Arabidopsis thaliana: one gene and its partner. The protein of the gene in region 2 interacts with the protein of the main gene of each other region in a biochemical or structural test. Each region holds a gene or a part of one and is shown on either strand. Other genes may lie near its edges. The genes, in order: IAA7 and AFB3.

Region 1 (5,049 bases), on a different chromosome or scaffold from region 2:
ATTATACTATTTGGAGGCATCAACGACTTACATAATTTATATGAGATTATTAATCTATAATATGAATACAATATATATATCTAATGATCCATCATCCATCCACCAGTAAGAACCATCAATAACTCGCAAGTCGTAACAAATTGTAAGTGAGTAACAAACATCCGAATATTAAAACTTTTATATCCTCTTTTGTAACTGTATCTTACTCACTTTTTTTTTAATAATGAAAACAAATTATATTGATTTCAACATATTTTTGAAATGATGACTAAATTAATCTTGTAAAGCCGCTACACATATAATCATCAGTTAGTTTAAAATATGACAGATTACGGACCACATGTCCCAAAAAATTAGGATACACAATTTATGATGAAATGACAACAAACCAACTTTAAATTCTACTTCTTATTTTTTTTGTGGGTTGTAGGATATGTTCAATTGTTCATTAAAGACTTCATCTAAAAGTCAATACATAATCAGAGTTTTTAAAACTAAAAAACGCTAGTAATGGTTAGAGAGTAGAATTAAAAAGCTAAGATTTTATTGGTAAAATAGTAAACATAACAACGAATTATTCATTTTGGGAAAAAACTATTAGATAACACACACAAGAAACGACAAGTAGCAGAGTAGGGATCAAAACACATGTACATGTACACACACCTACATACACACATTTATATGTATGCACATATCAAGTTGTGATTGATCATCAAACCGACAGACACATGTTGGGCAATAAATATGACACAAACACAGAGATATTGAAGTTTCCTCTCTTTTGGTCACATTACAAGTTTGTCCACATCTTACTGGTAAAATACTGCCCTATATACCCATCAAGTATTTAAAATTACAACACACATATATAGGTGATAGCCACATACAATCATAAAAATACATATAAAATCAAGAACCCGTCATATTGTTGATCATTGATGCTTCTTTTTTTTTATTATTAATTCAAGATCTGTTCTTGCAGTACTTCTCCATTGCTCTCGGAGCTATAACCAAGAAAACAGAATTATATTAAAATAAAAAGAAAATTGGTAAAAATTGAAAAACAAAAAAAAAAAAAAAAAGTTAGAGATGTACCAAGTCCAACTGCTTCAGATCCCTTCATAATGCGCAAACGTTTGCAAGACTCGACAAACATTCTGAAATAGGTATTCAAGTTTACGGTTAGAACATTAGAATATGAGTCGTTAACATTTAAAGTTTATTCTAAGGTTTTTGGCAATAATATGATGATGTGCCAGCTACGAATGAGCTCTAAACATATCGATACTATTGTATAATTTTTGAAAGATCCTCTTGTCTCTTGCCAACCAATGCATGGTTGTACGTATTTATAACACATGGATGTTGAATATCTTTGGCTTTGTCTCTACCAATTTCGGGAAATGTGGTTAACGAGTCAAGTTATAAGTTATAAAAAAAAGTATATGAAACGATTAAATTTGACTCACTCCCATGGGACATCGCCAACGAGCATCCAGTCACCATCTTTGTCCTCGTAGCTTGGCACATACTCAGAGCTATTCAGCAGATTCATTAGCTTGCTCTCGTTCATGAAATCTATCATTCCTTGTGCTCCATAGTTTCCTTGAAGATATTCAAGACATTCAAAAATCATATAAATTTATGTGTCATTATTGTGTAATATATATAATACATATTTAAGTTGTATACATTTAGCAAAATCTCATCTTGTTAATATGTATAGGGTTCGAATGTATAGTTCTATGACTCTAACTCGGTAAGGTTCATGAGTTTTGTATGAATAAATGTAGTAAATGATATACTTTAATATACGAATATAGTTTTTTCACACTTTCCGATTTGAAATTTCTAATACGTACCCATAGTAAAGGAGCTGAACATTTTGGCCAATGCATCAGAAAGATCCTGGTAGCTTTTGTACATCTTGAGGTCAACTTTCCTCAGATATGGAGCACCGTCCATGGAGACCTTCACCAAGCCGGCTCCGGCTGCTCCTCCACCAAAGTTCCCGGCCTTCTCACTGCTGGCCTCCTCCGCACCACTACTGGTCTTCTGCTGAGTCATCATGTTCTTCCTGTAGTTCCTCACAGGTGGCCATCCCACCACTTGTGCTCTACATAGAACAACATTATTTAGATAGGTGTATATCAACCAATGTAATTATTAGTTACCATTACTGCCTTTATGGGCTTGATTGTAAGTTATAACATGTATTATTTCATGTTTGCTTGTACGCATGTATGTATTGGTGTTTAAGTTTCAACCACGCTTTAATTATTATTATATTATTTCTTAGTATTATATTGATAGAAAACAAATATAACTTCAAAGAATCAAAGTTATGCATATAAATTTTAACAAAAAAAGGTAATGTATATGGGAAGTATATATATATATATATATATATATATATATATATATATAACTAACATTACAAATTTCAAGAATTTTTAGTTTATTCATATGTTTATGTAAATCCCTCACAATATTTATGTTCTGCGAGGACATATAACTATGAAATTTATATATATTCGAATATTCTAAGAACTTAGACATAGATGTGTATAAACACGTATATATGTATATATATGGACTGGAAAAAACTAAGAACTTTTTAACCAAAAAAAAAAAAAATCTAAGAATATATATATATGTAAATGTGTAGCTTACTTAGCAGGAGGCTTAGAAGGATCTTTAAGGGTAGTCTTCTCCTTGGGAACAGCAGAAACGTTTTTGAGATCAACGGAGCCTTCTTTGTTAGATTGAAGATTGAGCATGAGATCAACGGTTTCGGAGAAGCCTCTCTTGCTTCCCACCGCCGATTTGGCAGGACTCTCAACTGCTTCAGCGCCGCCGGGGAGGCCGAGACAGAGCTCCGTGGCCTTGAGGTTCATAAGTTGGCCGATCATGTTACTTGTAATAGATTAGAAATATTGTTTCTCTCTCTGAAAAGGTAAGAGGGGAAGAAGAAAGGAGAGGAAGGGGCAATAATAATATAAGGAGGGAGGATGGTGGTGGGGTGTATGTATTCGTGTAATTGCATGTGCATGTCTTTTGCTCTTTTTTCTTCATTGGTGGGGTTTATGACACGTGGGCTTGATTAGATGTTAGTTAATCATTTCTTCTCTGTTACTACAAAATTAAGCTAAGATAATTTTGTTTTGTTAATCTTCCATCTAGAAAGTTTTGAATGGTGACCGGGAAATTATGTTTTAATTAACTACGAGGATCAGGTCACATATTGATCATGATATGTAATGTAATTATTGTAGAACCGCGAAAATCCGGAGAGAAAACTTTGAAAACGATTACAAAGATTCCAAAAATATGATCATTCTTATTTTTGTGACAAACTTCACTGAAAAACTCGCCGAAAAGTTAGCCGGAAATACTTTGTAAAATTGAAGTTCCAACAGTTACGTGGTAGTGATGTTTTGTGATACTATCCGAATTCAAATAGTATGTATGAAGTCAAGTTATTCTTGACAATATATATATATACATATATGATATATTTTATAAAAGACTTTGGTATGATAATAAAAAGATGGGACATATTTCTCATATCTTACCAATTTGAAGAAAGAGATGATCTATGAGAATATTGAGAGCAACATATCTCTTACATAACCAAGTCATCTTGCTCCAATAGTAAAAGAGTGAAAAAATTTGCCACTTGAGTTCATGTAATATTGGCCATCATGGTTCGAATTCTAACATTAGTTTTTCCGAATCTCATAATTGGTGTTTGGATCTAAAAGTATTTTAGCATCATCTTTGTTATCAAAAAATAAAAAAAAAGACATATATATCTCTCACATCTTACCAAAATTTACATGTAATGTTTGCTTGACTTTTCGTATCTAATAGTCGGACTAAACCAATATGGGTCTTTTGACTCTGACGTAGTACTTATCATCGACAAATTTTCCTAAATAGCACATTAGATCACATATATTGGTTGTATAATTGTGTTCAGCATTTTTACTTAGAAATATATACAAACAAACTACAAAAAGTTTTGTTTGTTCTTCTCGTACGGTTCTGACATTTTTTTTAAATTTATTTGGTTCTGACATTAAACATACATTATAGTTCATAGTGAGCTACATCGTCTATTCTGGAGTTTCAGGATGTAGTTTGTTTATAAATTTGTAATGGTTGGGTTAGGTCATGTAGTTTTAAACATATTTCAGCTGGTTCTACCACTCTGTGTAGCTTTAGTATTTTAGCATTTGTACTATGACTCTATGAGTCAATACAAAGCTAGCATATAACTAGGTAGTATATAATACTTATATAGTATGAAACGAATTCAGATTGTTTGTTAAAGAAGAAAAGAATAAGTTCTCACAACATGTCTATATATAAACTATGAATGTATTAATTACTTCTATGTTTTGTTAATAGCCTATTTGTTACACTTTGTCTCCTCTGGTCAACTGTTCATCGCATATAAAGCAAGTGGAATTGGGCGGTGAAATTCCGTTAACCAAATTTGGTCAACATTCTAATTAGTTTGTGTCAAGCAATACAACTATACAAGTCACGTATATTATTTTAATTGTTTACGGTCTCCCGTTTTCTCTGTATCATCTTGGTTATTAAATGTGTCTTACTAAAAAATTAAAAATAAAAGAATAGTACTACTCATTAATAAGCATAGACATTTGTGGTATATAAACAGAGAATCTATTAATTGGTCTAGGTACATGTTCTTAGTGAGGACACTGAGTGAAGACTGACATCGATTTTCTTCTTCCCAACATAAAAAATGAACTTAATGCTTCTTTGTAATGTGAAAAGACTTGTAATTTTTACAGATGAAATCAAGGGCCATTGCATCATGGCTGACGAGACTGAGGAAAGTTCCTGTATTTTTACACTTAATTTTGTGATCCGTTTTGATCAAAAAAAAAAATTGTGATCCGTTTTATATATACATTTGATGCGCAACCAATCGAGTGAAAATATGTGAAATTATGTAGTTTTCTTAAGAATCGAGGCTTTTGAAACTTAAATATTTATGATTAGTTCTATTTT
Region 2 (5,317 bases):
AGCAAGAGATTCGTATTAATCCTTAGATTTAGTTCTCTGAGTGCTTTGCTGATCTTCTAAGGAAGGTTCTTGTCTTTTTATGATGAGTTTAGAGCTATCCATGTATAGACACATTTTTATGTTTATCTGTTGGACAGGATCTTTTACTTTTCAATGGATCTAGTGACTCTCTTAAGAACTACCTAATGGCTTTTATTTTACATTCTTAACCCCATAATATTTAGTATAAAGTTTGTAGATAAAATGTTATATCATCTGCAGCTTTTCTTTTAGTAAGAGATTTGTGATTGACCTCAAGTAGCCTAATCATGTTGCTTACAAATTGCGATTACGGAATCCTTTTTTTTGTGGGTTGCGAATTGCAGTCTTGCTGCTCTTTGCTGTTGCTGTTTGTTGGAGGAATGCTGCTTCTGAGAATGCCGCCAGTCTCTGTGGATCTCGTCGTTTACTGTCAGCATTATGTGTCTAATCGAAGACATATGCCATAACACTCTATGTCTTGTGTACTATCGTGTGTCAATGTCTGTTAATGTTTACCTCTTTGTTTGAGAGTGCACTCATCCAGAGCATGGATTAGACAAGTAGGTTTCTTGTGGATGTCATTGTAATTTGTATTATTTGGAAAACGTGATTGGTATTTTACCTAAATTTATGTTTTCAATGGCTGAATTACGGTGATAATAAAATGCGACATTTGTATTTGTTCCAAGTTTGATAAAAGGCAAAAACTAGTACAAAGAAAAGTTTGAAAACACATGAAGGTGCAAAGAGACTAAAGAATCCTAACATATGGTGGTGCATCTTTTCTAGTCCCAACCACTGTTCGGTAGAGGTAAAGTTTATCAACCTTCTCTCTTTCATCTTCTTCATTCTGTTCCATCCCATTATTCTCATTCTCGTTGATGATCTCTACGTTAAGCCGTGGCGAATTCTGCGCGAGCCTCTTGCAGCCACCGAGTGTTACTTCACAAGACGACATCCAAAGGGATCGCATTGTTTCGTACCTACCCACGTCAGCAAGAAGCGCAGCGTTCCCAAAAGGACTGTCCCTTATCTCCAGCTTCCTCATTTTTTTGCATCCATTCAACACATAGAGCATTCCTTTGTCAGTGTCCCCCGCAAAAGCTATCGAAAGCATCTCGAGCTGTTCCGCGTACATACCGATGTAGAGAAAGACTTGATCGGTTAAGAGACCGGAGACAGAGAGCCGTCTTAGACCCTTGCAAGCTTGTACGATTGCACCAAAGCCCTCGTCCAGTGATTGAAATGTAATGTGGTCAGGTTTGTGTGGCTCGAGAATGCATAGCCTGAACCGGATGAAGTTTGGACAGTTTTTGGCCACGGCTATGAGCGCTGCGTTTGTCATCTGTTTGCAGAAGTACAGAATCGAATGAAGTTTAGGGCAACCTGCGGAAATGGCGACTAGTCCAACCTCAGTCACAGATGCGTTGTTATCTTCTTCACCATGTACATCAGAGGGAAAAACTCTAAGCTCTTGTAACTCTTTACATGTGGCAGCGACAACCGCAAGTCCTTTGTCACCAATACTATCCAATATCTGTAGGAACCATAAAAACCATTTGTTGTCAGGTTAGCAAGTTAGTTTATTTTCTTCAGGACAGTGAAAAGAGAAAGTGAGAACAAACTTACCCATAATCGTTGAAGTCTCTTGCAAAGCTGAATAAGCTTAATGAGGTGGTTGCCTTGGATTTCAGCTGCATAGCTGAGGTTCAAAGAGATAAGGTTTTGGCAAATTGGGTAGAACGCTGGGAGGCAGAGTGGAGCAACCTCTAAAAAGCCAGACAAGCTCCTTAACGATGTGTATTTCTTAATGGCAGTCATGAGTTTTGCAAAAGATTCAGGATCTGGCTCATTCTCATAAGACCCTACTCCTAAGTCCACTAGCTGCGGCGCACAACTCATTAACCTTGCGAGTGCGTCAAGCGGTACTGCACGGTTTAACTTCAAGCTCTTCAGGTTTGGTGACCTAGCAACAAGCCTTTCTAAAGCAGCAACATTGGTCTCTCCTTTAAGGCAAGCGAAATTCAACGACATAAGAGTAGTGCAGCTATCTGGAAAACAGTTCAGCCATTGACCTCTATGATCATCAATCTCATTCTCTTGCAAGTCCAGCTCACGAAGATGCCTAATAAGAAAGACAACAACACATTTTAAAAACAACATAAAACCTAGAGAAACGCCAGTAAAAGAAAGGCCTTTACCTGCAATTAGCGGCAATGGAAGCTAAGCCATCAGTGGTAAACCCTTCACAGCTAACAAGAACCAAAGACTTGAAATTTGCAAAAGAACGTGAAAGAAGGTCCAAGCTTTCATCTGTTACAACCATCCGCTTCAACCTCAGCTCCTCAAGTCCCACACGGCTTCTAGCCAAAGCTTCAATCCAAGGATGCACGAAACCTCCCCATTCATGAGGAACCAAGTTGAAGTCTGCAAAATGAGGCTTCCCTTTTAAAGTTAAGGATTTGAGACATGGAAACCTCCTGATCAACCTCTCCGGGTTAATCGCGTAGCAGTTTCCGATGAACACTTCCTTCCTACTAAACCTCTCGATCTTGTGCCATGATTTGCAGACCAGAGATATCGAGTTCCTGTCTTTGTGAGAAGCTACGAAGTCAAACACGTGCTCTATAACCTCGTCTGGGAAATAATTCATCTTCCTCTATTGATTGTCGAACAGAGGAATTGACTTCAAGCTTAGCTCAGTGAAGAAAGCTTCGTGGTCCAGTGAGATCCACAACACTACCAGGTTCGAAATCGGAGGCTCACAAAATGGAGAAGCTTAGAAGAGCTCAAGAAAATCCACCGAAACCTGAAGAATCTGCAACAAAGCGAGATTCAAATTATACAAACTAATTTAGAAACAACAGATCCTGAAACTCGATAAACTAAACACAGAGATTAAGATTCAGATCTACAAGAAAGTAAATGAGCTAGATCTAGAAAGAGTTTCGAGACCTTGAGCTTATGAAGCTACTAAGATCGTCGTCGGAACCAAACTCGCTGATGATTCGATTGAAGAAAAACGTTGGAAAATGATGAATCTGGATAAAACTCTGGAGTTAGCTTCAAGTCCAATGATGATGAGATGATCAAAGATTTGGATGAGTGAGAGAGAGAAGAGAAGAGAGAGATCACGCAAGCCAAAAAAAACCAGAAACTCTGTAATGGAACAATTTAATCAAGAGGAGAGAAGCTTTAACCTAGCTGACCAAAAAACTAACCATGGTTAAGTTAAAGCTTGTTGGGTGTTGGATGATCCAACGGAGGAGAATGGTTCAATGGATAGCATAAAAAGGAATCTTGACCGTTGAGGAGTGGTATGGTTAATTGGTTATGGCATGTGTTGCTCACCACTGGTTTACGAGACCTTTCGCCAAAGAGAAAGGGTGAAGTGATGCATTAGTGTCAGAGCAAGGGACATGTACAATGCCCTTGTCTTTTTATGTTATTACTAAATTGCCATGTAAAAGCTTTCATGGCCAATAGGAAAATATAATATGTTCCATACTGAATTAATTTATTATTGGTTTTAATCGTTTTTGATTACGTATAATCAATCTTTCACGGTTGTTAGAAAGTGCAACAATGTGAAAAGTATTCGTGAAAATGATATTTGATGTGTATTAATATTTATTGGTTAATCTAATATAATACGGTATTTTTAATTCGTTAAAAAGTACAATAAGAAGAAACTAAATAATATCCAACGTACTGTCGTATCGTACTGCATCAAATACGTATGTTGTTATTCCCACATCATGTTATTTTTTTTGTCAAAAATTTGTTATCCCCATTTTAGACACTTATTTCGTTAATTTATAGTCAAATAAACTCGTAATTTTAGTTAACTGTGGAATAAACGAAAAGAAGAGAAGCAAATTTGTCGTTGGGACGATGACACCTTTTACGGAATTAGAAGTTGATGAGATTTTTTTTATTTTTTTATGTTTTCATAACCAAACAAATCCAAAAGCTAATCAAACTCCCATCTTTTTCAAAAGAAGGTAGTTATGGGTAGGGTTCCATCTCGATTAATTCGTAACTCTATTGAAAACAAACAAGTTTACTATTCAAACAATAAAAAGATTTTTAAGTAGTACATTTTGTTTCGATTTGTCATATACTGTATATTTAAGACAAATTCTAAAAATCATCGTTTAATTGTGTTTTACTGCCTAAATTCAGAATTTATAATATTTATATTAGTTTTTTTTTATATATATCTACTAGATAAATAAACCAAAAAAAAATCATTAAGAAAAAAAGAATATAAAAGGAGCAAAAAGGTGGCATAATCAAACTCAATAATAGACCCACTTGCAGATTATTACATGGAGAAAAGGGGAAGAACGAAGAGTACACAAACAAAATCATTGTTACTACTCGTTGAGACTCGAAAGATTAGAGTCATTTCTCTAGCACACCATTAATTTAGTAGTTTTGAAAATAAATGGCACTAATTATTGGTCAAGTACTTACTATCACATACTATCAACTAATAATCTTTCATAATCCTCTAAACATTTCCCTAATTGCTACTCGTATGTAGAAACAAGTTTAAGTCCTTTGTTGTATCTTCATACTCTCTGGAAAATCAACACTTGTCTTGGTAAAAGTAAATTATTTTTTAATCCAAAAAAGTTATATAGTGATGATTTCACCTCTCTCTTGACCCATCATATGCTACAATGGCTGCCATGTGAATGCCACCTTTTAGTAATCATCTCCATTTTCACCATCGATAGCCCCAAATATTTCACCATTATCTTGGTTTCAGTTGACTCGGATAATGCCTGAATTATTGGATTTTACTGTGCAACCAACCCCCATCTCTCACCTTAGTTAAATTATCTGGTAAAGTAAGTCCAAGATTTGATTATTTACTTAAAAATACATATTCAAGCATTTCTCTCCTTTCCAAATAAAAATTTTGGGTTACCTTTTAAGACAAAGTGAGAAACCTAACAGTAAGAAAATAAAATATTCAGGGGTATCAAAGCTTAGAATATCGAAAATGATAATCATCTGGTCTCTATCATCGGTAAAAGTTTTTGTAATTTTCTTCTAGAACTCTTATCTTCTTCTATTTTCTTTTTCCAGCTTTTGGTTGGTTCATGAGATTCTTTTTCCTTTTATCCTATGAATCCAAAGGCCCAAAAAGCAGAGAGAGAGAGACTCATAATGACGCATGTCTCTCTTATTCAATAATCTCCCACATACAAACACCAGTAGTTACACAATACCAACCACACACATCCATATCATATCAATAACATCATATACACATATCGATCTG

The links.
Region 1: the proteins of AFB3 (region 2) and IAA7 form a complex in vitro, tested with the Arabidopsis thaliana proteins (one study listed by BioGRID).

What each region holds. Positions count from the first base shown.
Region 1 is NC_003074.8:8,192,634-8,197,682, reverse strand, and holds IAA7 (indole-3-acetic acid 7), read right to left. Parts: upstream 3,078-5,049; 5' UTR 2,916-3,077; coding exon 2,677-2,915; intron 2,120-2,676; coding exon 1,866-2,119; coding exon of another isoform or gene 1,855-1,865; exon of another isoform or gene 1,609-1,854; coding exon 1,473-1,608; coding exon of another isoform or gene 1,469-1,472; exon of another isoform or gene 1,161-1,468; coding exon 1,099-1,160; intron 1,008-1,098; coding exon 967-1,007; 3' UTR 528-966; downstream 1-527.
Region 2 is NC_003070.9:4,368,107-4,373,423, forward strand, and holds AFB3 (auxin signaling F-box 3), read right to left. Parts: upstream 3,193-5,317; 5' UTR 2,977-3,192; intron 2,840-2,976; 5' UTR 2,675-2,839; coding exon 2,223-2,674; intron 2,147-2,222; coding exon 1,651-2,146; intron 1,559-1,650; coding exon 773-1,558; 3' UTR 654-772; downstream 1-653. Other genes in the region: AT1G12810 (proline-rich family protein), read left to right, coding at 1-12, 366-414.